7 linked regions of the Danio rerio genome follow. The protein of the gene in region 5 purifies or fractionates together with the protein of the main gene of each other region. This does not show direct contact. Links are inferred from orthologs where the notes say so. Each region holds a gene or a part of one and is shown on either strand. Other genes may lie near its edges.

Region 1 (3,500 bases), on a different chromosome or scaffold from region 5:
TTGGGCAGGTTCACAGGACTTTTCAGAATCTGAGAGTGAGCTGTGAGAGACAGGTTTGGGCAAAATAGGTCTTCTCTGTTTTAGAAACTTAGCGAGGAGAGGCAGGGGCACACGTTCAGGTCTCTTGTGTGGTAAGGTTTTCTTCATTTGTGCCTCGGGCTTGGCTTCAGTACTTAGAGAAGAAACTGTCTCCATTTTTTTTTCATCCGAACAGGATAGATTTTGGTCACTTGATTTCAATGTATTCTTGTCAGCACTGTGTTCATCAATTTCTTTTTTAATCTCGTTTGCTTTTAATACACCTGTTTTTAAAGACGTGTCTGTGCTTTCACATCTGAGAACATCACCTGCACCATTTCCATCTTTTTGATCAACCTGCAAAGAATTTTCTGTTATGGATGATATATCAGCTGCCTCCTTTTGTTTACTTGTGCAAGCAGTAGATGGCTCCGTGGCCCCACCAGTTTTGTTGATATTCTCAAGTGATAACCTTTTTACTTTCACATGAGCACCTTTAATGAAGTCGGAGAATGCCAATGAGGATGGACGCTTCTTGTTACTGTTAGAGAAAGAGAGATAAGATCAGACAGAAAAACTTGTTAGATTTAGCAAAAAGGTAAATATGTACAATGAAAAACATGATAAAATAAAATAAATGCAAACATTTAAGCCGTAGCTACATAACTCTGTCTATATGCAATTAATGTCATAATGGGTCAGGAGAATCCTATTGATAATATTAGATAAACCGTCAATATGTTTATGGCTCAATAATACTATATTCGGAAATGTAGAAACTTTTGTGCGTCATGGTTTCTTTCTAAAGCCATAGAAGAATGCATATAAATGGCATGGTTTCACAGTGAGTATCTTTCTTGTGTACTACATCTCCAGCTAAATCAAAATTCTGCTTTCGTTTGACAAATTGTTAAAACTACTTACCACAAACTTTGAACATTTGTGTCTACAGCTGGCGCAGCACCATTAACAACTTTATTTTCTCCATTTGTAGGGTTGGGAACGTTTTGATTCACATTGACCTTTACAGAAGCTTTTCTCTTCATGAACAGTGTTTTCAAGTTATTCAAGGTTGTCATCTCCTTGCTCAGCTTGAGCTCACTCTCTGTTTCATCAGTAGACAATCCATTCTTGGCCTTAGATGATCGCGCATTGACCGCATCCTCCCTGAAACCTTTGGCAAAGGGGTTGTAGTCAATCTTGAGCTGGGTGATGCAAAGGTTTTGATAGGCTGTGACTGCAAAAAACTCAGTCTGAGCAAAACTGAGAGTTACAACATTGGGTCTGTCCAAAATTAGAATGTCTTTACTGACTTTGTCTGCAGGTATAATATGAATTTGTGGAAGGTATCGGTGCATTGAGTGCAAAATAATATGGCCCTCTTGATCCAAGGTGTTGCAAAGTTTCAGTCTGTAAAATGAAACAGGGTACTGCATCCAATGTAAGCCACTAGCAGGGGATTCTGGGTGTACAAACAACCGTGAAATATGAGGCTCAGCCTTCCCATTGGGTTCCCATCCTTTGCCACTCCATTTATATCTGCAGTTATCAGCAGGTTTAATATCCATTGCCAAAACGTAATTCTGGAAAGGTTCCATTCCAGAGAGACGAAACCGGCAATAGGGGAACATTCTACGTCCTTGTTTAGTCAGAATCATCTCTGTCTTACATCTATGGAACTCGTTCCACATGTTGTTGTTATCCAGGGTCACAGTAATGCCTCTACATCTAGCATCTGCTGGCAAGTTCTCAGATGGTGTGGTGCTGTTAGTGTCTGCAAATGTGGAGGATGTTGGTTGAATGCCTGCCACAGTAGTGCCAATTGAGGATTTCCCCATTTTATTTGCCTCACTAATTGCCATTAGATTAGCCTTGTCATTCCCACTATCACTAGATTGCAACTGTTTTAAAACAACAAAAATGGAAGGTGGAGTGGTTGTGGGAGGTGCCAGTGTTGGGGCAGTCACGCCCTCTTCATGAAGCACCATTGCACCCTGTTTCTCTGTATCGGCCATGGGAATTAAGTCATCTGGATAGCTTCTGACCCTCTCACATTAGGGTATATCAGGTCTACATCCTTAAAAAAAAGAAAGAAAAAAATGTGTATATAACATGGGATTTTTTGACAGCTAGCAACTGGAAAGCTTAGCACAACATTAACAGTTTGTGTTACTTAATAGATTACTACTAATCAGTCGAAGCCCTGATTGGCTTCAGTGCAGAAACTTGTAAAAGACCAATTTCTTCAAGAAATGCACTACCTTATAAATCTTCTAACACCTTTATGGAGAAATGTTTGAACAGTTAGACTAAAAAGTTGTGTATTGTGCTTTGTGTACTACATACAAATAATCATTCATCATAGCAAGGCATTAGCCTCAAGTTAATACTCGTAAGGGCATCTAATAAGTCCTATCAGTCCTACATGCTGGTCTAGGGTAATTGAGGTATGCTACTGCACCTTCCAAGACAAGTGCAGGGTTGAGATTCAACTATGCATTAAGCTGGCAATCCATGAACAGTGTTAAGTAAATGACTTACCAACTAGTAACATCTAGCTCAGTAAAAACAAATAACAAGAACATTTGAACATATTCATGTTGACATTAACTGTAAAAATGGGGAGGAGCCAACACCAAGAATATCATACTTATAAAATAAAAAAAATCTACCTTGAAGACAAGCTGTACACCAACCAATGGGTGGACTTTGGCTATTTCCACCTTTTATTATAATAATATAATTTTTCTGTAATAAATAAAGTGCTCAGCCAGAAACTAAGTCTTAAAATATGTGTGATCTAAATGTGAAGATTGCAAATATGAGAGTTTGAGATGGTTACCAAACAAAAACACTTGCGCATCTCAACTAAGCTTTTGTTAGCAGATTATTGAAAATGGATCCTAATTGCATGTGGAAACAAAGTCTTTGAATGACACCAAAACTGACTAGTAAAAACTGACTTCAAAACAATGGTTTCAAAAGGTGAAAAGGAAAAAAAGAAATGTTGGCCTCCACAAAACTGATTTTAATGAAAATAACTTACTTCTTTCTTTTCATGAAATTGATACATTTGTAAATATAACAAGTAAATGGGGGGTAAAGAGAAAATATGCACACGTAAGGAAACCTCTTTGGGAACAATCATTACCATTCTTGTAGTTGCAATTGGAGCCACTAGTTGCATCATGCTAAAAACAAGGTAATGGGACTTGAGTTAAGCCAGTTTAAACCAGCTTCAAACTAAACAAACAAATAAAAAAGGTTAAATACAACGTTTATTTAAAATATACTGTGTGTGACAGTATTTGTAAACAATACACAGTCATGAAAGGTTTTTAACTCAGGATATGTGACTTATCTGTTTGGTTAGAACATTATTTGAAAAAAAAATGTGATGGGAAACAGTTTTGACAGAGTAAATTCCAACTCAGACACTTTTTAAATATTGTTAAAATACACATTTAGTGAATGCATATAAT
Region 2 (4,193 bases), on a different chromosome or scaffold from region 5:
TCTTTAATCTAGTTTTGAACTGGGAGAGTGTGTCTGAGCCTCGAACGTTATCAGGAAGGCTATTCCAGAGTGTAGGAGCCATGAAAGAGAAGGCTCGACCTCCTTTACTTGATTTTGATATTATAGGTACTACCAGAAGCCCTGAATTTTGAGATCTTAAAGAGCGAGTTGGATTGTAGCGAGACAGAAGGTTTGGTTAGATAAACAGGAGCTAGATTATTTAGAGTTTTATAGGTGAGAAGTAATATTTTAAATTCAATACGAAACTTAACAGGCAGCCAGTGTAAGGAGGATAAAATTGGGGTTATATGATCATATTTTCTAGACCTGGTCAGAACTCTGGCTGCTGCATTTATATATATATATATATATATATATATATATATATATATATATATATATATATATATATATATATATATATATATATATATATATGTATATAATCACATTTTAACACATTTCCAAACATAATAGTTTTATTAACTCATTTCTAATAACTGATTTATTGAGTTATTATATACTGATGGTTTGTTCTGTAGACTGTAGAAAAACAAAAAACTTAAAGGAGCTAATAATTTGGACCTTAAAATGGTGTTTAAAAAATTAAAAATGGCTTTTATGCTAGCCGAAATAAAACAAATAAGACTTTCTCCAGAAGAAAAAATATTATCAGACATACTGTGAAAATTTCTTTGCTCTGTTAAACATAATTTGGGAAATACTTAAAAAAGAAAAAAAAAATGTCTTAAAAAATGTCTTCTTTTAAAACCTTTACAGGTGTGAGACTACATAAGAGTGAGAAAATCACTTTATTTAACTTAAATAAGTAAATATACAAACAAACTGACTACACAAACATATAAAGAAACATATAAAAAAATAAAAATAATTAAATAAAAACATTCCTGTAATGGTAACCCATTCTATACAACAGCCACAATTGTTTTTACAGTTTACCAAACCTCATTACCTATTTATCAATCAGTTTAAACAATTGCCAACAAGAAATGCTCACGACAGTCTGTCAAAATGAAAGGAAATTTCTGTCAATAAATATTACTGACCAAACCATCCCTAGGTGTGCAAGTCCACCTTTCCACCATCTTTCCTGTCTTTTTTCAACACAAGCAGCAACTTCACCTAAGAAGAATTCACTCTGTGTCTGTGGAATATTCCATATCGCGAGAGGGGGGCTACAGTACCTACCACAACCACAACTCTCAATAAAGACCAAATGCACAATTCCTCGGTGAAAAACTACACTACCTTAAATTTCCACTTTCACTTTGAAAGGAAGTAAACATTTTGTCGGGTCTTAGTGTGTGGTGTCATTTGTGAAAGCAGAAACCAAACATCCCTCTCGGAGTTTTAGTTCAACCTGCAGAATTTTAGGCAAAATGGCGACATTGTAACGGATGGAGGACGAAAAAAAAAGGACCGTAATCAAGTACCATGACAAACTTGCCCCGTGTTATAGTGTCATTCTCTGGGAAGGTAGGTTTAAAGCTTACGAACGTCTTCCCTTGCCGGATGTGTGTTTAACCGTGTTGAGAGATGAGAGCGCGATGGGTACAGTGAGTCCTTGCACGGGCACGAGAGCTAATGTACACGGGCATCAGGTATGTCAACACACCGTGCAAGTCACGAATCCTGCAAACTAACATTTCACCCTTCCGTTGTCATATACGCTATAACTCTAAACAGTATTGTATTTGGGGGAAAGTTGGACGCTCTTCTGCATCTGAGGAGCGCACTTGCGAGGTTTTTCGTTTTCACCCTGCAACACACTTTATACACACTTTTACAAGATGGGTGTCAGAATCGATGCAAAGCGACGTCAGTCACCGGATGAGACGAGCCGTTTTCCATGTCAGCTGGGAGTTTTGTGTCGCGGCCTCTAGTCGCGGGTTTGACACTTGAAGAGCGCAGACGCGTTTAGACGCTCGTCTTGAAGGCGCTTGGCGCGACCTTGATTGGATGGAATCTGTGCGCAACGCGTTTGCGCATCGTGGCAAACAAACATCCCGACAGCCTATTGCTTTCTGTTGGAAATCTCAGTCGATCGTTTTGAATGGTGTTTAAAAATAGGCCCTTTTAAATGATTTGTGTTAGCCACAGAACTTTTAATGGCTGTAAAACGCACATTTTATGGCGTGAATGAAATCACTGAGTGACATAATAGCATATCTCTCACAGGCTGTCCACTTACACATGATTTTGATAAATCTTACTTTACATCCATTAGTTTTAGCAGATGCACAAACTCTGTTCTGCTGCATGACAACTTTTTGTGGCAAACTAAGATCCTGCTTCAACCTTTTTTTCTGTCCTAGATCTTTGCCAGCCATGTCAAGAATCAGTGTTTTCTTTTGCTCACTAGTCAAAATGTTGACTTGAAAGAATTTGACTTGTCAGCTGTATCTCACAGGCTGTCAACCAACACTCAAAAGTCACTTTTGAGTGTTTATTTTAAAAATGTAAATACATTGGATAATGTCTGTTTTATTGGACTTTAGCACACTTGTAATTTGGCCTTAAGCATGATGCTTCACGTTAAAAGCAGTATTGCTGATGTTCAGAAGAATATCACAGTTGTCAAGAGATATTAACGTTTCTGATTTACTGATTTTTTTCCTCTTTAGATACCTAGTAATTCATTTTACTTTTGACAAAAATAGGCAATAGCAGATGTCAAACGAAAGGCTTGCTGTTTAGATTATTATCTTGGTGTTTCTGTGGTTATTGTAGAAGTATAACTAAACTTCTGATTGTGTTAATACTTAATTTTATTCAATGTTTTGTGTTTTCATAGGCGCTAAGTACCATTTTTTAATGTTTGGATCAGGTCACTAGTTCTTTAAAACTTTGCTTTCCATTCTTATTTATCTAAAGCATAGCTTCACAAAAAGGCTTTTCATAATGCACTTAAGTGGTTAGTTCACCCACAGATGAAAATTATGTTATTAAATACTCACCCTCATAAGATTTTTTTATATATTTTATATTATTAATATTAAGATATTTGGAATTTTCTTTAAGTCTAGAAAAGTAACAAAAAATATCCTCTGTACAGACCATATGCCTTCAGTGGTTTATCAGAGTATTATCAATCTACAAGAATGTTTTTGCACACATAAAACCAAAATAAACTACTTTATTCATTCAACTTTCTTCTTTTTCTCATTGTCAGTATAGGGCACATGCTTTCATGAGTACAGTGGAGTGACATACAGTACCTCTTCGGATGCCCATGCTCCTTTGTTTGAAGCACACATGCATCCAAGGTAATATGTTAGCAGCATAGTCAAGCACAACACATGAATATGCACCCTATACTGACACTGAGAAGATAAAGCTGTTCAATAAATTTCTTATTTTTGTTTTATGTGTGCACAAAAGTATGATAATATTCTAAATGGCAGTCTGCAGGCATATGGTCTGTTTTTAGAATGTGTGTGATGTTGTAGGGGGTGAGTCTGGAATTTGTAAAAGGGCTTAAATAGTTGCCCTTTAAATTCTAAATCTTTTTTTATTAGCCCAGAAAAATATCTATTATCTGTATATTTAATTATGATCATTACATAAATGAAAATATTTGTTTTAAGTTGCTGATAAAATATAATTAACCCAAAAATATAATTATCGCAACATTTAAGAACAATAATGAATATTTCATACTGTATTTTCACAGTAACGTGCACCCTTACTTTTTATAGGCATGATAAGTCTAATAGGGCCCAGTAAATAGGGTCAGAGGTTTTAGTTACTGTGCGAGAGGTGAAGGATTTTACTGGCTCTTTTAAATTAACATATTTAATTAAATTTCATGTTTCATGCTCTCAGAATACTAGTGAGCTGTGTAATACACTGTAAAAAATCTGTTAATTAACAGTTCCCTTATTTTGTGATTCACAAGTGTTTTCCATTTATGTACGGTTGTGAATTGCATTATAATTTCTGCTCTGTCGACATATGATGTTGAAAATTCAATAATTTGTCTAACTGTTTGTCAACAGATTGACAAAGTGACTTATTGATACTTAAGTAGTTTGAAATAATATAATGTATAATAAATAATATATAGAGAAATAAGTCTGTAAAATTATGAAAATGTACCAACAGTTTATTACAAGGTTTTTGTAACGTAATATAGAACACCAACCCAGACAATATATCACATTAAACTATTA
Region 3 (3,500 bases), on a different chromosome or scaffold from region 5:
GGAGGTTCATCCCAAAACTCCTTGGGCAAAACTGCACTTTGTGGCAGGACAGAGCTGGAGCAGTATATACCACTATCAAAGAGATCCTTCATGAGTTGCACAGAGGCAAGTGAGCTGGACAAGAAGATGTTGTGATGTTTACCCTCAAGACCCTCTGTGAGATGTGGCACAACTGATTTTCCCAAGTCTTTGTGCTTCTCCTGTCGTGTTGAGACCAGCAATTTATGGCAAAAGCCTGACTTTGAGTCACACAGTAGCCATATCCTTGGCTGAGAATTTTTACTCTTCTCCTGAGCCGTTCCCTTATCATGGCTCGGTAGGAAAGCTTGATCAATTGTCAAGCACTTGTTTGGACTGTAGGCCTCTTGCATGCTTTTCTCCAGGATGCTCAGCATCGGCTGAAAAAATGACAACTTGTCAGCACTCTGGCTGTCATTCTCCACAAGCATGCTGCTCATTCGGATGTAAGTGCTGATCTGCTTAAAACGATTCACTGACATGGTCCTGTAAACCAGCTCCCATGTTCTAGAGCCATAGCGGCCTTGGTGTTGTTCCCAGGTCCAGTACGAGTCCGGTTCCACCAGGTTTTGAAGCCCCATGAGGATAGAGAGACCAAAAAAGCCTTTGATTTCCTGTACAGACACAGGGTGCCAAGATGTGTCCCCCTGCCCTGAAGAGCAGCAATAAGTGGCATAGGCGTTGGTCTCACAAACAATCAGCTCAAAGAGGGCATCAGGAAACAGAACCTGGAAGTAGTCGAGGACATCATGATTCCTGGTCATTATATGCCGTGGGCCACAACGTTCCATGAACTCTGGCACTGTTCCTTCCTCTTTGGGCACATTCCACTGTTTCAGGGACAACCAGTCAGGCTGTGTCCCAACATCACTAGCTTCATCCCCTTGTGGACCCTCCACCTCCTCCTCAACATGGCAGAACTCAATATCTGTCTCCAAACACTCTGTAGGGGAGGGGAGGGATTATAGGAACACAGAGTTAGTCTTCTCCTTGGAGTCTTTACCATCACCAATAATCCATTTTATAACATGCTCAATGTATATGTAGTTCTGATAGGTCAGTTAGCTTTTGAAAAAGAAAATAATAAGCAGCTCAGAAGCAGCAGATAACTCCCCGATGGTTACTCCTTGACGTTATTCATTTGTCATGTTTCTAAATTAATCCATTTTAGGATTTTTATTTTGTACTTCTTCTGACATTCTCCAGTTCAGGCGGTGTGCGGTAGATTTTTGTATGTAATACTCAATTACACATCCAGAGTGCTCTCGCAAAGGCTTGTCAGTAAATCCTGTGAATTCACACCAAGTGCAAAGGGGCCATGTTTGTCCATTTTGACAATGGACAGTTTGAGCTCATACCCCACACCTGTGATTGCTGAGCATCACATATTGTGGGATATCACTCAAGACGGGCCACTTTGCAAGTGCCATTGACGTATGTCTATTGTATGATTTAGCTAAGAATGCACGGAAAATGTGTTGACTAAAGAATCCTTCTTTATTGTAGGTGTCTATCAACAGGATAAATAACATTCAATCTGTGAAAATACATATGCAGTGATGAGCAGGGTTTGTGTACCGAGCCCTTTGCACATGTAAGAAGTTAAGACACAATGATAAGTGATAATTTGTAAGTGAAAAGGTTAAATTTGATGAATATGCCATGATGCCAGTAATTTAGTTCACTGTATTTTTACTTTTGTGTCAATGCTGTATTAGTATAAACATGCAATTAAAGACACCTACAACAGAGTTGGATACCCTCTAACTACAGAAGTACGAAAGCAGAGAAAGAAAAACGAGCATGCAGGTTAAGAGGCCCATGCAGTAAGAGAAATGCAGTAAAAATACAAGTATGCTGTAATGTTCTACTGAGCTAGAGAACACCCACCTTTGCGCATGAATAAACAGTAGGAGTGATCAGGGAACTTGATGAGATGTTTGGCCATCAAATTTCCGTGAGGAGTGGAGTATTCACAACCTGCACAAGTCAGCTTCACAACGCTACAAAAAGAACACCAAAATACCCATAAGGTACAGTTTCAGACTGAGCAAAACAGAACTCAAAATCCAAATATTACATTACCTTGGAGGCCCCTTTTTAGAAGGTTTTGGAGCCCTTCCAGGAACATGATTGCTGAAATTAAAAAAATAAATTGCAATATGTGACTAAACTTCAAGCTGCAATTTCCAATGAAACTGTTTTCTTCTGTACATATATATTCTTCTGTATATATATATATATATATATATATATATATATATATATATATATATATATATATATATATTTGAGCCGCTCCGATCAGGATTTTTACAGGCAACACCAAGTACTGATTTCTTGTCATGGTGATCAACCGATACAAAGTACCAATTTTGATGCTTAAAGCTTTACATCACTTTGCCATATAATTTCACATAAATTTTATATATATATATATATATATATATATATATATATATATATATATATATATATATATATATATATATATATATATATATAAAATTTATGTGAAAATATATGTTTGACTCAACTTACTTGATCATGTGATTTGCATAAGCACGAGAACAGCACGTGCTATAGAAGCAGAGTGAACAGTGAACATAAGTGGGGTAGTGATTCACAAAGTCTGGAATGTCAAAAGTGCACTCCACACACTTATGTCTGCCCAGTTGAGCCCTGGAAAGAAGAGAACCAGAAGTAAACACTTCAGAGTTGTAATTTCCAGTGGAAATGGATCAGTTTATCTGTTATCTCATAACATGAGCTTACCTCTGCTCCTGGAACTTGGACAGGAACTGAAACATCTTGCTGACCTGTTTCTTCCCAGATTGCTGTTGTTCTGATTGCTGGTCGCCACTTAGAGTTGTCGATTGTGAACTGCTAATACTATTCTTCTGAATATTAGTGGATGCTTTTGAAGCTGACTGACCTGGTGTTTTTTTCCCAACATATGCCCTAATGGTCACCTGAATATGAAGAATAAAAATAAATAAATCAATTAATACTATATTTTTGCACTTGTTGCAAATTTACTCTCAGTCTCACATAAACAAACAAACAAAGATTTTACTTTTGTTCCAGGCTGCAGTCCATCCAATTCACGGGGCTTTCGGAAAGTCCTGTGGTGATTTATTTTATGCTCAACTTTGTCCTTTGTGAAAAGGAACTGAAGACGGCATTTGTTACAATGGTAAACTGTTGATTTCTGAGGAAAAATAGAATTACCACATAATTGTAGAAATTAAGTTTGTCTGTTAAGTTAAGAAATGATGGATTAATAAATAAATTAATAAATAAATACACATTTAATGTTTTCACAGAATACTAAAGCAAGATAAATGTTCCAAATGTTCTAGAGGAGGTGAAAGCAGTGGTAATTTCTTCAACAAAAGTAAAAACGAAGAAAGACATTGTTGCCTATGGCTTGAAACAAGCAGAAACTTGACATGTCCGCTGCATCATTAACATGACTGAAA
Region 4 (4,208 bases), on a different chromosome or scaffold from region 5:
AGACCAAGGGTACTTTAAAGGTGTTCAGATGCCAATGCTACCTTTGATCCATTTCAAACTCCTGAAAATGAACCCTTTTGCTCTGCCATGAATTGGTTCAAAATAACAGTCAATTAATAGATTTAGCTTGAAGCATGTTAGGTCCATGTAAGTTTTAAATGTATCGGTTATGTTAATTTTGAAATTGTAAGACCATACAGCATTTTTCTTGCTCCAAAGTATGTATGCTTTTGCGCTTTGTAATTTTCCAGGTTGCTGACATGCACATATTCCACACCAAAGGAAATATTTATAGATTCCAGAATATACTGATATTTAATGCCTGTTAAAGGAACTAAATGAATTTCACAACGTTCTTCACATAATCACTATCAGAAAAAATTTTGAACTTAAAAAAAAAGTTACAGGCTCCAATAACATCAAAGCTTGCATTAAGAGGACACATTAGTCAAATATTCATTTCATGCTGATTTAAATGTAAAAGACAATCAAGAGGTAATAAAAAAGGTCTAAAATCAAACCTTAGAGTCTTGACCACACTCCAGCTCTCTTTATTAAGTTGAGCATCTTCCTCTTCCTGAAAGGTCGGAGTTTGTTCAGGCTCCTTATTGTCATTCAGCTTCCAAAGCAAGATGGCCGCATCTTAAGAATAAGACACTACATTTAACTTTTTACAGCCTCCATACACAATTTCAGCCAAGTATTGGAATGACTTTTAGCTCACCATCTCCCCCAGAAGCCAACACTTCAGCAGTGGGTGAGAAACGCACTACATTCACTGCTTTCGTGTGTCGTGCCAAGTTAGACAAAAACTCAACGACCGCTTTCCCATCAGGCCCTTTATCCACACGCCACATCTGAAAATGAGAGCAGATCTCATCTTACTATATGAGTGCGTGCGATGAACATCAGTACAAGTCCAGAAAAAATAAAAATGAGATAACCATGTGACATTAATTGTATGTGTGAACTTTGCATACAGAAAGTTTGCAGCCACAGTCTCCATTTTAAATGTTAAAATAGCTTCACGAGTAAAAAAAACGTTGTCTTTTAAGAAGATGTCTAAGAACGAAGATGACCCAAGCTGTCATGTCAGCTTCAAACATTAAAAGACAAATCCTCAGCAAAAAAAGGAAAGCGTAAGTAGGCGCAGAGTCAGGATAGCTTTGAGGGATGCTGGGAAAGTATATTTGAATCGATGGAAGATGAAGGTGAGTGGAAGAACTGTATATGTGATTTGATCCCTCTCCCTCTCTCCTACTAAACATGCTGAGGAGCGCTAAACAGAACAAAAACAGTTAACCTATCAAATAAACCACATACCATGTATAATAAAGCTGTATTAATGCATATTTCCTGCTAGTTCTGTGTAAACTATGGCAAGCAGAGTTTATGCATTCATTTATATCAGTTTGAAGTAATATATACACAGGTGCACTGCTTGTCTAAATAAACTACAACATTTAGTAATGTTATAATATTTAGCTATGTGATAATTGATTATTGTCTGTACTGTAAGAAGGACTATGTCTTGTACATTCTTCATGCTTTATTTTCAGCTTCTTTTTGATAATAATAAACTTGAAAATATGAATCTGAAGCTTTTGTTACGGCATTAAAACTAAGATAAACGAATCAGATCTTTAGTGTTTTTCAAGTGATGAGTTAAACTGTTTTTCCACACTAGTAACTGGACATATACCGTTCTTCCGCTTTTGAGATTGTAAATCACAATAATACTTTATTTTTAATACTAACACTGAACAATGTTATCTCCTCAGAGTCAAGGAGCTTTTGTCGTCTATCTTCAAGTAAAATAAAAATATATAATATAATGTTCACAGTCCAAATGAAGAAAATAGTATTACTTAAAATGTGAAAATATAGATTATATGGTTCTTCGTCTCAAGGTTTCATATGATATCTCAATTGTATTAATTTAGGAGGCACTTGTGATGTATGCCAATAAATCTAAGCAGAGGTTTTTTCTCTCTCTCTTACCCGGACTGTGGTGTCCACTCCAGCAGTGGCCAGACGCTGTGTTTTTCCATCACCGCTCTGTTGAAAGTCCAGACTGTACACTGGCTCCTTATTATGCCAGGCAATCTCACAGGTTACAACCTTCATCCTGGCACCTGATGGGCAAGGATATGACGACATGAAATATTAATATAATACATAATGAAAATGAAGGAAGGGGGAATATGAGAGAAATAATAGACCGCAGAAGACGATAGTTTGACAGAGGGCATACACTTGGGAAAAACTAACATAAAAAAACTATTGAACAGCTTCACCACAGCACAGTAACACACGGTCTCTATACTAAGCTATCAGTGAGGCTGAAAACAAATAACGTTACAGTAAACAAAACCAACACTGCACACATCTGAAACAAGTCCATAAACTACAAACACAAATATGTATCTGGCGAGAACCATTATTACAGCGTATTTAGTGAAATATACCAACATTGCAGTGTTTTGGTATCGTTAAATACTTGTTTTACGAACTGTTAACGCGGAATTTGGAACAATAAACAAACGTTAAGTACATCACAGCTGTTCTCGAAGAGATATATAAGTAAGTAACAAACATAACGACGGTCAATAACAGACGCAAAATATATTGTAATTACATACCGGTTACTTCGTCAATCGAAGCTGCGACAGTCGGAACAAAAATGTTTTAGTTACTTCGTGAACAAGTCCCGCTTTCACCCAAACAGACGTCTTTCCCGCGCAGCTTTCTGACAATGACAACTTCCTGTTTCACGGGTTGCCAAATCCCTCATCACAAATCCGCCGTTGGGCTGTGGCGTTTTCAACATCCACTTGAAAAGCACATGTCGATGTTCTGAAAAGTGCCAACAATATAGTTTTGTGACCAGTATTTGGCAACCTAAAATATTTACAGCATTGGAAAAAGTTAAGAGACCCTTTGAAAATTTGCAGGTTATCTGAATTTGCTAGTTATGATTTTAGATAACGTTAAAATATTTTGTACTATGTAAAGGTGTAATCAAATCTATACCAATTTTGAAGACAAAACAATCTTTGTCTTGCAGTAAATTACAATTTGTATATATAACAAATGTTTTTTTTTATTGTGATTTAAGTAATTGAAATTGAATAATTGAATAAATTCAATTAATTGATTAATTAATTGAATTAAGCTATTGCACCAAATACTGATTTCTTAACATTTCTGAAGTAAAAGAAAAATGTTATTGTGTTGTCTAAAATGTTTTGTTAACTGTCTGTAAAGGTGGGATAACATTTCTATGAAATTCCATGTAAAATATTTGGGAGAAGAAAGGTGATTTAGGTGACTTTAAATGAGGCATGGATGTTGGTACCAGACGGGCTGGTCTGAGTATTTCAGAAACTGCTTATCTACTGGGATTTTCATGCCCAACCATCTCAAGTGTTTACAGAGAATTATCTGAAAAAGAGAAAATATCCAGCAGTGAGCAGCAGTTCTGTGGGCGCAAATGCCTTGTTATTGCCAGAGGTCAACGAAGAATGACCAGTGGTGCGTTTCCTGAACAACAATGTAATTCGTGGCTGAGCTATCATAGTATGATGTATTGTTTGGGAGAAGAACGATGTAGTGACGAGTTTTTCCCAAAACCTGTAGTTTTTCTGTTGCTGATTCATCGCTTGAATCACATTAGTTATAATGTAAAACACCCACAATGATGCTCTAAACGGAGTGGAGTAACTACTTCTTTAGAGAAGACACCCATAATTTCTTTGTGCAAATTATATTGTTTTACACAAACACGCATTTAGAAAAAATCCAATATTAGTTTTGGTAAAAACAAGCACTCGTTTTCCATATAATCCGAAATATATGTACATGACACATATAGGGCCTAAGTTTCCTTTACAGATATTATTAAGAACATTACATGTTCTATTCTAAAACATAAAATCACTTACAAAAGCTAACACATATTCTAATCTGATAAATCATGTACATAAATAAATAATGAGGCTATTTATTAATAAATAAAATTTTATATTTATTATTCATTAGGAAAGAAAAAAAATCCTACTTTAATAATAATATTAATGATGACGATTATTATTATTGAAGTAGGATATTGTTCATTTTTGTAAAAAGTCTACTTTTTCAATTTGACATGTATACCACTTCAGAAATGTGCTAACCAACAGGCCTATGTCATATGCAGTAGCCTACTA
Region 5 (4,158 bases):
CCTTTCTTCATAAAAAGCAATAACTATCTGCGGGCAACGGGTGTTAGCCTCTCGTGCGGGAACCAGGTCCGCTTCATCAGAGTCCTTCCTGTAAACACAAGACAAAGAAGTTTATCTAGAGACCAAACAGAACAATTAGACTAGGAAGTACAGTGTTGCACTTCAAAACAATGACCTCTGCATTGCAAATGAGGTAAATTATCTTGTGGATGCTTTATTGAAGGGATGTTGAAAACCTAGATTTTAAAACAAATGTATTTTGTCAGTTTAATTTAAAATATGGATATGGATTCAAACACACACACACACATTTATTTTTTTTTCATAAAAAAAAAAAAAATTATACCATACACCTTTGATTATATATAAATAATTGTGTCCTGAGCAGTAAACACGTGGAGCACTTCTACACAAATTAAAAATTTAAGTTAAACTACCTTTTTGAATAGAAATTTGAGATGGATTGTTGGTGATTGTATGAGTTTTGACCAGATTGGCTAGCAATACACGAACATAGGAAAATTAAGACTTGTTTAAAAAAAACATTCAAGACTTACAACACAGAGTAAATGTAAGACTTTTAAGGCCTACATTTTTTATTTTGGGATTTTAGACATTAAGACCCTGCAGAAACCCTGAATAAAAATAAGCCGACACAATGAGCCCTCCAGTAAGCCTCTTTATTTTTTAATAAAAAGGTTTTATGCGTGGGACTGCTGCCCTCTACAGGCCTTTAAAACAATCTTTAAAATGAACTCAAATGTTATTCCAAAACGTTATAGCTTTCTTTTGTGGATTGTTTTTCATACAAAACAAACAAACATTTTATTTACCAAGTTAAAATAGGTTTCAAATATTCTTCATATAGTATGACTTGTAGAAGTTGAACAGATTCAAAACAAGATCAAGACTTCCCCCACTATTTTTTCTCAGCTAAACATGTTCTAAATCAATTACAAAACCACAATAGTTTCTTACCACTTCATGAGGAACATGAGCTCCCCGCTGCTGTCAGTCGCCCCAATGATTCTCTCTGGTTCAAGGTTTCTTGCAAAACCCCTAGGCTTGTCAGACTACAGTAAAAAAACAAAAAACAATATTAGTTTAGATTTAGCAAATTTAACCAATGTTAAAAAAAACATCACATCTGCTAGATATTTTAATGACCAACACAACATCTTACCATTTCCTTCTTTCGTTTTGCCTTGCTCTCTTCTGTCTCTGGTTCATCAGTGGATGATTTTCTTTTTACAGCTTCTGGTTTTTCCACCACTCCTTTCTGAGACTCAAGGAATGCGGCGATCAGCTCTGGACAGTCTAAATTTTCTTCAGGCTCCCAAGTGTTGTCAGCACTGAGGAAACATAGATACCTTGTTAAAGAGATAGTTTACTAAAAACTGAAAATTGTAATTTACTGATCCTTCACTTGCTCCAATCTTGTTAGATTTTTTTTCCATTGAACACAAATCATGTTTTTTGAGGAGAGCTGGAAACTTGTTTACATTAACTTTCACAGTATTTGCTTTTCCTGCTGTAGAAATCAATGGTTACCGGTTTTCAGGTTGCTTTATATTATCTTTAGTGTTCAAAAAAAAATCATTAAAAACTGGAACCACCTGATGGAGAGTCATTTTCCCCTACAATCTAATAGCATACAGCTACACTCACAAATCAAAATATATGCAAAAACAATTCCGTTTATTTTTCATAGCTGCAAAAGAGACGAAGTACTCACTCTGTAAAGCCTTTCCACTTGAGGAAAAACTCAACTTTTCCATTGACCACTCGCTGGTCCATTACCTTCTCCACCACAAACTCCTCAATCTCCTGAACTTCCTTCTTTGACTTGCCTGCCTGCTTCTTACCCATGTTGACCTAAATGCACACACACACAAATGACATCATAAACCAGACCTTATCATTCATTTCAAGTACTTTAAATTTAAAATGTTAAAAATTTAAGACTCTGCTCTTTTTGTATCAAAATAACAAACGAAAAGGTTTAACTGTTTATGACTTGTAATATAATAGTAAAAAGGCTAACGTTAATGTTTGCCCATTTACTAAGAAATTAAATGATACTATATGCTAGGGGGGTTCTCAAATCCAGTGATGCCTTTACGGCTAGCCTAGGGTTAAAAACGCGTTAGTATGTGGTGCCTTTTAAGTGTGCTTGAATGTTAGCGAGCTAATGGTAACTGCGCATGCATGAACAGGCCAAGGGCCCTGAAAGCGTTTCAAACTTCCCACTCGAATTTATAGCGGTTTAAGATTTCCCGGCGAACACACAGCTCGCGTGAACGTATAACTTTCCACAAAAAAATATTGTTCGCTTAATATTTGCTGAAACACGTGTTGGTTTACAGTAGCCCGCGTTAGCCAACTTGCTAGCAGGAAATGCTCACAGAAACAGACAAAACATCGCGACGTTACAAAACATTGTGCAATATGCATCCTACATTTCTGTAAAGTGAAACAACTTAAAGGGCTTAAAAGCAGATTTACAAAAATAAGCTAAAATAAACAAGACTGCAGCATTCAAACAACAAACTACAATGGACGGTGCTGCAGCACGAGAGGCATGCGCGCGAAACTCACCATGACAATGGATAAGATAAAAACTTGGATAACAAATCTTCACGCCTTCTGAACTGCAAATGGCTTTACAGAAACTGCTCCCGCGCCAACGAAGTACGCACTTTTAAAAGTTTTACTTACTTGATACTAATAAATCAAGAAGAAAAGCCGACTGAGGCTCGACGAAGGCCAGCCAGAATCGAACGCGAGGACGTAAAGCCACGCCTATCTGAGAGCAATCACGTGTATCCAATGAGTCTTACGTTGGGCGGAGCGCCTGTGAATTCAAAAGCACATCCGCAGATTACCATGGCAAAACATCTCGATTCAGTTATTTTGAGAGATACACCGTATCACTTAACTTCAATTTAAGTGTTCACTCATTAAACAGATCTCTAAAACAGATTCTCTATATGTTTAGCCTATTGCCTACTACATCCAGAACATGACACAACAAAGGGAGAACGGGGTAATGTGAGATACCCCCTGTATCTAGGCAACGAATTTTATATATCACTCTATAACAATTTTGTTTTAAAGCCCCTTCCATATCTCCTTTACCATGAATAATAGGAATTCCTGGTGCTTTGGAAAGCATGAACTACCAACATATAAAACGATGTGAGTATGCTAGCTCAAGATTAGTCTGAATTGCTAAAAAAAAAAAAAAAAATTTCTAAAATGTGGCAGTGGGGTAAAGTGAGACATTAGGCACAAGTTAAATTTAGTCTACCAGATTGTAGGACTTGTGAACGAGGCCTTCAAACGAGCAGTGACACTTCGCAACATCACTTCTGGATTTAGGTCCACTGGAATTTTTCCATGGGAAATTTTCCTTGATAAAGCATTTTGCACTATTCATGGTGTCAGACTAGGCAAATCCTGAGCTCCAGCCTGGCACTACAGAAGATTTGGATGATCTACTTCCTGCAGATGATCCACTTACAGATAGTTCACTAACTGATGCTATTCCATTCAGTGCGCATATAGTCTACATGGATGTGCCATGTGTTTCTAGCCAACCTGGATACATGTCTCTTCATGAAATGCTACCATTCTCAAATGTCTCCCCAGAACACAATCCAAATGAAACCGTGTGACACTTGAAAAGGCCTATAAAAAAAGACAAACAAAAAAAAAAACACCAAAAAAAAGAAACAAAAAGCTTAAGAATAGCAAATAAAAGGAAAAATCAAAAAAAAAAAAAGAGAAAGCAACCAAAAACAAAATCATAGTTAGCAGCTCTGGGAAAAATGATGTCCCTGTCTTAGTTGATAATGTGTCTGATGAAATGAGCTCTAAGGATGAGAGTAGTGGTCCAAGAAACACAAATCTGTCTTTGGGAGACTTTGTCATAGATAACTTTGCAACAAAAAACACAAGCGTTTATTACACTTGCATGGTTAAGGAAGTTGAGGATGACGAGATACGCACATCATGGTTTTGCCAAGTACGATCTGATCCTGGATCAACATCTATGTTTATCCTGGAGCATCATTTTTGTTGGAAATTGTAATCCATACCTATTCCCTACCCCTAAACCCAGCCATAACTGTACATTACTCTCAAAATCAGAGGGGA
Region 6 (3,984 bases), about 970 kb from region 5:
CCAGATTAAGACATGCTTCAAGTCCAAATTCTCCAAGAATATTTTTTACTTTTCGCCTTGTTCTGCGGATCTTCTCCAAACCTTTTACTGGAAACTGGTACATGGTGCAACACCTGAAAGAGATTTATATGTCATTATATTTCATTATTCTGTGAATCTTATAATTATCTATAGACGATTATTAAAATCATCTAGCCTAATTATACAGTACTACAATAAATACTCCGTAGTATTATAATATTATTACACAAAAAAAATGTAAACCAATTTTCTACTCTGTTTGCTCAGGTTGTTTTTAACTATTTGGAATTGCTAGCTAGCTAGGTCTAAACACACAACCATTCATAAACTAACTAAATAAATACATTTTGGAAAGACATTTTAGCCTGGAAACTATTTATATAAAAACAAGACACTATAAATGGAAACCATTTGTACTGTTCGACCAAGATTATTGTAAAGAAAAATGAAGTAGTTTTGAATGTTGGTAGGGATATGCCACTATCAGCTCAACTAACCTGCAGTGGTTTACTGCTTGTCACTGTGTGTGTCTGTAGAGCACAAAGCTGACACCAACCTATATACAATTTCTATAGAAACCAGCATGGATATATATACAAGATCCTGAACGATTGCAGTGTACAGTGAGGATCAAAATACAATCAGTGCATAACAGTGTGTACATTCAGTCCAGATTTAAATAAATAAATCAGGTGAATGGGCATGTGTGAACAAAGCCTGAATTGCTTTTGCTAATAATTAGGATACTCAAGAAAGAAAGAAAAAAAATAGGACAGTTTATTCCAACCTGGAAAATCATTTCACGTGACAAATTCACTGTCATCTTCACTTGTTAAAAACCTGCTTTAGCAGGAGGAATACATAACACAAAGGAATACATACTGAAGAATGCTGAAAATCATTGACTTCTATGACATGTGCTTTTTTTTTACTTTGGAAGTCAAAGCTTACAGATTTTCAGCTTTCTTCAAAATAAATTATTTTGCGTTCAGCATAATAGTGAAACTCAAAGGTCAGGAACTTCTCAAAGATGAGTAAATAGGTAGTATTTTCAAGACATAGCATGCACTACACTTTAACCAATCGTTACTTAAAACAATATTGCCTACAACAATTTTCCATCAACAGTCAGACTATCTGTACACCTATTCATTGTCTTAAATGCATTACTGTCAACACTGCTAATTGTATATTGTTTTTGTTTTTTGGGAATATGTTGTATTTTGCACTGTCTGGAGCCAGCACTTAAGCTTTTCACTCCTCATAGTACACGTACAATAAAAAGTTATTTGATTTTTTTTTTGGTGAACTTATTTCAATTAATGTAATCTTTCTCATTATTATACATAAGTAAACTAATTTAAACACATGCACAGATTGCAATCTGTGCATCTATATGAATGCAGGGTCAAGCACATGCGCAGACGTTTTCAAAGTTTTTAAAATGTATTCCAAGCAAATAAATGTATATATGTACAATATATGTAACCCCATTATAGTATCATAATTAGCTGTGGTAAGTGTAACAGTATAATAGCATAATGTGCATATAATATGATACATTGAAATATATAGATAAAAGCATATCTATTATTAGCCTTATCCCTAAGTATGCATTCAGCTTGCATAATTCAGGAACAGATAAGCATGTTTTAATTTCAAGTATATAAGTCTGTCACAAAAATAAAATTAAACAGATCTTAGGGACATTTTCCCTCGAAGTTCAACTCTTATACAATTATAAATACGATGCTTGTTTTCACTTTTGACTTATGAGGCTGATTTAACATCCCATCTCCATTGCTCAAAAACAAACATGAGATCCTAGCATTATAAAAATGTGCATGCTAGTGATGAAAGGTAAAGAAACATTAAGTGTTTGTTTTATTTATTTATATATATATATTTTTGACCACATATATTCATCATCTCTGCCTGTTGAATGTGTAGCGCTTTCAACACAATCTGGTGAATTCAATAGCAAGGCTAACGTTAGCTAATTATTGCATACCGAGAACAGCTTTGTATTACCGAACATGTGGAAAAATCATTTTGTGCTACATGTCAGATATTGGGCACAAATGCAGGATAAAAATGACAAATTTCGATTCTGCATCGATTAAAATAAACTAATCCTAACTGCAAATGACTGCACTTCCATGATCTAAATGTGCCCAAAAGCATATCCAATTCGAGCTGTAATTATTTATTTATTGCAAGCATTAACTGCGACCGCTGCCCAAACGTATAAAACCCCGCCGCCAAAAGCACACGGAAATTTCCAAACAATAGCGTCCAGTGTAACTCTATAGCCGGGCGAAAATAATATTCCAAGAGCGCCGCATCGATAGAAAAAAACCGACAAGAGCGATTTCACATTGCAGGAAAAAAGACTCCCTTCTAGAAAGCAAGATTCCAAATAGCGCAGTGATGTCATGAAGTAACCTCTTCAGAGCACTCGGCTAATGCACTTCGTTCTACTTCCTGATCACACCGACCGCGCGACAACTGAACGAAAAAGCTAATGTTCTCGCCGCTATCTAATTGTGAGGACATTAGCTTTTTTCGGCGCCACACACCGACCCAGGGAGATTTACCTACTTTCACCAATCCGCGTGTCTGCCAGAACCGACGAGTTAGGATGATGAGACGATGTAAGGATGTTCCAACAAGAAGTCTGTGCTCTCAGTTATGGAAATCAGCTATTAATTGTATTTATTAAAATTTGGAAGTAGGACCCATTTATTGTGCTTGCCGTTTAGAGTCGAGAAAATGGCGCATTGAACAACTGGGAAGTGACGTCAAGAGGGTAATTATCATACTGCGAGCCTGACCAATCGGATTTAAGCAGGCTTGACATGCCAAAACTTTCTTTTGTATGACTTCTGCTGGTTCTCAGTTGTAACCACGTGGGGAAGCATAATCAACTTTTAAGTTGAGACTTAGTCAGGTTGTGGTTACTTTCTATGTTTCATGTATTCATCATGATAAGGCATTTTCATTCAAGAGGTCTGGCCACTAGAGGGCGCGGTTTCTTGTAATTCACATGTAGAGCCACTAGATGGCACCTTGAACAATGAGCTGGTTGCTGAGCAACTGCACAAGATGGGAGGGGTCTTGTTGCTGAAGTCATCTCACACCACTAGTCTTCATCCAATGGGTGACCAGCAAGTAATAATACTAGCTAAGGCATATAAAAAAATTGCTTGGCATTTACGGTGCATGAAATTTCTGATGATCCATTTTTGATTTTATGTCATGACCAACAGTTCCATCAGACATAACATTGGAAGTTTTTTTTAGTCTTAATGAACGGTTTGATCAACACGATAGTCGCTTTTTTTGTTCGAAAATGTAATTTAAAAAAAATTTAAGTCACGTTTGCAAGTTTTAAGTGGGATTTTACTAGATTCGATAACATTTTAAATAATAATTATGATCATCGTAACATGCATCGCACAATTATTAACGAATTTTAGTATTGACGCAATTAACGCATCTATTTATTAGGTTTGTTTATAGATTGATTTTTTTTTTACAATTTGAGCGGAGTGATGTAGAGGCTGGCATGTCAAACGTGATGAAAACTGAAAAAAATATATTTTTTTAGAAAATTAAATTTTCGAAATTCGCAATTTTGCGATTTATTTATGACATTTAACTCACTCACTATGTAATGCTTAAGAATTAATTTCAAAAAAGATAAATTTATAAAATCACAAGTACTTGAATAAATATTAATTTGTGGACCCAAATTTTCATAATAATTGACAATGTCATTAAAATACAATAAGTGTCACCTCATGAATAAAAGTTACAGTAATCTCACAGTGCATGTTTTATTAAGTAACATTTAATAATGTCTGATGCAGAAATGTTAGCACTTGAAGTGTCTTGTTTTGATGTTACAAAACAAACTTTAGTGACGATAATTGCTTAACCATTGAAATAATCATAACAAAT
Region 7 (4,211 bases), on a different chromosome or scaffold from region 5:
TAATACGAAAGTTTGCTGTTGTTAAATACAACAATTACTATTATTACAGAATCATCTAGTTTAACAGTATTATCAGTGTTAAGAATAATTACAGTGACATTTGTTTTAGGAATACTTTATTAAATGTTATTTATATTGCAAAATATTAGTTTTAAGCTCTTATTTATTATATATGTTTGCATATAATAAAAGTATATTTTAAAAAAAATTACATTTGTTATTACTAGTATATGAATAGCAGTTCCGAATAGGGCTGGGCCAATAAATGATATTAAATCGAATCGCTCCAATCACAGCAGAAATGTGCAACAACAGAAATCTAGAACTTTGTTGATATTAGACATGCAGCAAATTTTTGCCCACCGACAATTCATCAGCTGAATTTATGTTATGCCATTTAAAGTACCCTCTAATTTTTGTGGCTTCAGTCATTGTTGGGCTACTCTTTTAAATCTGGATGCATTAACAACTTACATAGAAATGTATATCGTTACGGTTCAATATAGAAAACAATTATCAAGACTGCATTTTTGCCATATAGCCCAGCCCTTGTTCCGAATGCCAGTTCCTCCTATTGTAAATCTGAAATCCTTTCTCAATTGTTATGTAGGATAAAAAAAATTGAAACTTGGATTTCAAATAAAACCTAATGCTTTACAAATGTGTTGTTTTCTGCTCACCTGTACTGTTTGCCTCTTCCCATCTGTGATAACTTTTCTTTTGTAGTCACACAAATATTCCACTTCATAATCACACAGGTTGTTCCTGCTGATGCCGAGCTCTTCGCACACCACTCCCTCATCTCGACAGACCACCTCCAGCTGCTCTGTCGTAGCAATGCATGCTACCCTGCAAACTTGAGCTATAAAACATGATTACATGTCAATTTTAGAAAAAAAAAGAGGTAAAAACGTGGGTAAAATCTAGATTACAGATGCGGACACGCACATCAATATAGCTTCATTTTTGTGACACTGTACAAGAATATTTATACAGTACTGTGATGATTGGGTTTAGGGTTGGAGTAGACGTTATAAGATACAATTTATTGGGTAATTTAATAAATTACATGTTTAATACTCAGTACAACTACTGTTTTTACATAAAAGTGATGGTTGGGTTCAGGGTTTGGGTAGGAGTAGATGGTAATAAAATGCAATTAATGGGAAATTATATGAATAATAAATACAATTTTTTTAACTTTTGGCTGCAACCATATCCGATCTAGCAACAACCGTAAAATTGGTGATGACAGATGTGTGCACGCTAGTAAACACGGCTAAGCTGTTGCTAACATACATGTAAACTAAAACTTTGCAGAAAGAAACATGTCAAAATAAATAGCATGTGAAAATAATATTATTGGTTAACATGCATACACACACACACATGACAAAATATAATTTTCTTTAAAAAAAAATTTTATGAAACAACCGTAATCACTACTTTGTACATATTTTGTTATGTTACTTAAACTATTAAGTTGTTTTGAAATAATATTACAAAAATGTATTGTAATGTACTGTGTATTTGTAAATGTATTTAATTAATTAAAAGTGAAATAGTCTTCAAATAATATTATGTAGCTAATAACATGGACTACAAACATTTTCAAGATATTTGATCATAAAACTCTAAAAACCAACAACAAACCAAAGCCAATTAAACCAACTTACAATATTGTCATGTTATCAAAGTAATAGCAACATTAAAACTTCTTATCAAAATATATTGTGAGAATAGACTCCCTAACAAGATAGTGATTATAGTTTCTCGTATAACTTTAATAAAATATATAACGTTAGATCTACAAAAACAATACAAAAGAGTAATGTACAGATCTGCTTCCTTCATGCTTTATGGAATAACGTTACATTAGTAAGTTAATCTTTACAGGGCTGGTCGCGAGCATCTTCGCTAACCAATGGGCCATTTAAACACTTTAACAAAGCTAAACTAAGAGTATTCACAGGCTGAATTGGTATTTTAGTGTATTCATTTGCTTTTAAATATGAATTACTTAGCAAAGGAAAATAAAAACGTTAGCTAAACACCGAAAAGTATGCTAAAACTGCGCATATGCGAGATATGTAACATTGTACAACTTAACAAAACTTCAGAAAACAATCTGGACAGGGGAACAAGCGATTGTCGAAGAGTTTGTTAAACGTGTTTCAGGAGCGCGCGCTGGCCATAACACCGACCTACCGTGAATTTGTATCAGCAACTTGCAGCAAATAATGTTTTAAAACTCGGGGCTTATTTCCGGGTTACCTCCGAGAAAACATGTCGTTTAACCAACTCGGGCTATAGATCAGACTTATATTGAATAAACTGTTGTTTGTGAACGATTAACACGGCATATTCTTACCTTTCAAATTTTCCGCCATCGTCTCACGCCGCCAAAACTATGGAACTAAAGGCTGCTCGGTGGTTGGATGCGCCCCGTCTGAGTGACGGGTTGAGCAACCAATAGTGGCAGAGTATTTAAATCGGGAAGAGTTTATGCAAAATGCCACATTCGTTAAATGTGTGAACTTTGAGGAAAAATAGATCTTAATTTGACTGATTTTACAGGCAGATATGGATAATATTTTGAAGACACTAACGTTAGTTATCTGTGAGATGCTTTCCATTTAACGGTTACCCATTTAATTACTCTAGAATGGTTAATTTTTGGTGTCCAGGCGAGACAAAAAAGTCAATACGATTTTTTGAACTAAGGCTTTAATTTCATAATCTAACATCTAGGAAACAAAAAGGCTGTTTACGTCACTCAAAGTAAAAACGGAGATGTGCTGTAAAGTCTTTTATTTTGCTTTTCGCCGGTTATGAAGGCGGCATAGATCTATCTATGCGAAGGCGGGACATGTAGAGTGTCATCGTCACGTGACAGTGTGACGTAAACATTCATGAACTTCCGGGAAAAGTCAACAAATGCGTTGATGTAAATACTGTCTGTATGTTTGTGCGTTTAGTTTTGCATTTCTGCGTGTAACATTTTATGTATTTGTACCTCCTTATGTAATTTTATTTCCTCTAAAATACGCAATATAGACAGGAGAAGGCCTAAACGGCGAAACCGGTTGTCTGCCAGCCTCTTATTAATGCGGCATAGACCATTTACTAACTGATTATAAGTACATTGTTTACAGTACAACCATCACCTTTAGCTAAACGACAAATAATTTAAATGTATTATTTTACAGGCGTCATGTCCTTCATTGCACAAAGTCTCCGGACACCAGTAATTTTCCTGGCGTTTCTTGTTCTCATAGAAGTGGTGTCGTTTGCTTCTGCAGATAAGGTACAGTTTTACTGGCTTATTTTCACCTGTATTCTTATGTTTTAAAACCTCTATATGTAAATAAACGTGAAAAAAGGCAACATTTCGAATGTTACCAGGTTTTGACATGTTATTAATGCAATTAGCATTTTTCATTCATTTTCCTTCGGCTTAAGTCCCTTATTTATCAGGGGTCCCCACAGCGGAATGAACCGCCAACTTATCCAGTAGATGTTTTACACAGCAGAAGCCCTTCCAGCTGCAACCCAGTACTGGATTAGCACTTAGCATTTTTTTATAACAAAAAAAAACTAAAACTAAATCTTTGGAGTATTAACCTATACAAACTACTCCAGAAAAGAAACCTTAATAGTTTGTCAATAGGTTTACATTTGCACGTTAATCAGCAAAATTGTGTAAAAGATGTCTGAGATATGGAGGAAGGACTTACTGAGGTTGATGATATGATTTAACAAAAGTTTTTTTGACCCCCTATATTTATACTAATGTGCTTTATATACCTATCCTAAAAATAAATAAATGAGCATAACTCTAACATGAATTGTGTATAATTTAAAAAAAGTTCAAATTCCTTGCTAAATACTGTGCCTTTCTTCATTTTAGAGAAATCATTTGTCTCTTTCTGAAAATAATATGTTGCTTTCACAGAGTTTTGAAGATGTGCGTTGCAAGTGCATCTGTCCACCTTACAGAAACATCACTGGACATATATACAAAAAGAATGTGACCCAGAAAGACTGGTAAGACTCTAGACCAGGGGTGCCCAAACTTTTTCTTATGAAGGGCCAAAAACCAAACTTGATTGAGGGTGGTGGGCCGAAGCTAAATATACCAAACTGTATTACGTTAAAGTTGTCATAGAAACTTTTTAATTTAATAATATTTTAAAATATATAGAAATTTT

Evidence for each region.
Region 1: the proteins of cbx3a (region 5) and mgaa purify together in Homo sapiens (affinity purification with mass spectrometry; 4 studies listed by BioGRID and IntAct, with this or other methods). This does not show direct contact. The link is inferred for Danio rerio from reciprocal best matches to the Homo sapiens genes CBX3 and MGA.
Region 2: the proteins of cbx3a (region 5) and znf644b purify together in Homo sapiens (affinity purification with mass spectrometry; 3 studies listed by BioGRID and IntAct, with this or other methods). This does not show direct contact. The link is inferred for Danio rerio from reciprocal best matches to the Homo sapiens genes CBX3 and ZNF644.
Region 3: the proteins of cbx3a (region 5) and pogzb purify together in Homo sapiens (affinity purification with mass spectrometry; 7 studies listed by BioGRID and IntAct, with this or other methods). This does not show direct contact. The link is inferred for Danio rerio from reciprocal best matches to the Homo sapiens genes CBX3 and POGZ.
Region 4: the proteins of cbx3a (region 5) and chaf1b purify together in Homo sapiens (affinity purification with mass spectrometry; 3 studies listed by BioGRID and IntAct, with this or other methods). This does not show direct contact. The link is inferred for Danio rerio from reciprocal best matches to the Homo sapiens genes CBX3 and CHAF1B.
Region 6: the proteins of cbx3a (region 5) and adnp2b purify together in Homo sapiens (affinity purification with mass spectrometry; 3 studies listed by BioGRID and IntAct, with this or other methods). This does not show direct contact. The link is inferred for Danio rerio from reciprocal best matches to the Homo sapiens genes CBX3 and ADNP2.
Region 7: the proteins of cbx3a (region 5) and suv39h1b purify together in Homo sapiens (affinity purification with mass spectrometry; 3 studies listed by BioGRID and IntAct, with this or other methods). This does not show direct contact. The link is inferred for Danio rerio from reciprocal best matches to the Homo sapiens genes CBX3 and SUV39H1.

Annotation. Positions count from the first base shown.
Region 1 is NC_133192.1:11,762,556-11,766,055, reverse strand, and holds part of mgaa (MAX dimerization protein MGA a), read right to left. Parts: intron 2,096-3,500; 5' UTR 2,034-2,095; coding exon 943-2,033; intron 560-942; coding exon 1-559. UniProt on the Homo sapiens protein: Functions as a dual-specificity transcription factor, regulating the expression of both MAX-network and T-box family target genes. Functions as a repressor or an activator.
Region 2 is NC_133181.1:27,125,221-27,129,413, forward strand, and holds the start of znf644b (zinc finger protein 644), read left to right. Parts: upstream 1-1,393; 5' UTR 1,394-1,418; coding exon 1,419-1,497; exon of another isoform or gene 1,498-1,622; intron 1,623-3,193; exon of another isoform or gene 3,194-3,247; coding exon of another isoform or gene 3,248-3,287; intron 3,288-4,193.
Region 3 is NC_133191.1:42,534,308-42,537,807, reverse strand, and holds part of pogzb (uncharacterized protein LOC561483), read right to left. Parts: intron 3,230-3,500; coding exon 3,095-3,229; intron 2,991-3,094; coding exon 2,794-2,990; intron 2,701-2,793; coding exon 2,560-2,700; intron 2,155-2,559; coding exon 2,104-2,154; intron 2,022-2,103; coding exon 1,909-2,021; intron 962-1,908; coding exon 1-961. UniProt on the Homo sapiens protein: Plays a role in mitotic cell cycle progression and is involved in kinetochore assembly and mitotic sister chromatid cohesion.
Region 4 is NC_133184.1:32,230,240-32,234,447, forward strand, and holds the start of chaf1b (chromatin assembly factor 1 subunit B), read right to left. Parts: upstream 2,801-4,208; 5' UTR 2,643-2,800; intron 2,136-2,642; 5' UTR 2,128-2,135; coding exon 2,002-2,127; intron 858-2,001; coding exon 725-857; intron 643-724; coding exon 522-642; intron 1-521. UniProt on the Homo sapiens protein: Acts as a component of the histone chaperone complex chromatin assembly factor 1 (CAF-1), which assembles histone octamers onto DNA during replication and repair.
Region 5 is NC_133194.1:22,210,534-22,214,691, forward strand, and holds the start of cbx3a (chromobox protein homolog 3a), read right to left. Parts: upstream 2,801-4,158; 5' UTR 2,602-2,800; coding exon 2,599-2,601; intron 1,876-2,598; coding exon 1,736-1,875; intron 1,353-1,735; coding exon 1,184-1,352; intron 1,074-1,183; coding exon 979-1,073; intron 89-978; coding exon 1-88.
Region 6 is NC_133194.1:23,184,666-23,188,649, reverse strand, and holds the start of adnp2b (activity-dependent neuroprotector homeobox protein 2b), read right to left. Parts: upstream 2,801-3,984; 5' UTR 519-2,800; intron 114-518; 5' UTR 104-113; coding exon 1-103. UniProt on the Homo sapiens protein: May be involved in transcriptional regulation. May play a role in neuronal function; perhaps involved in protection of brain tissues from oxidative stress. May be involved in erythroid differentiation.
Region 7 is NC_133183.1:27,656,540-27,660,750, forward strand, and holds the start of suv39h1b (histone-lysine N-methyltransferase SUV39H1b), read right to left. Parts: upstream 2,801-4,211; 5' UTR 2,391-2,800; coding exon 2,372-2,390; intron 863-2,371; coding exon 681-862; exon of another isoform or gene 1-680. Other genes in the region: proton-transporting V-type ATPase complex assembly regulator TMEM9 isoform 1 precursor, read left to right, coding at 3,194-3,307, 3,956-4,047. UniProt on the Homo sapiens protein: Histone methyltransferase that specifically trimethylates 'Lys-9' of histone H3 using monomethylated H3 'Lys-9' as substrate. Also weakly methylates histone H1 (in vitro).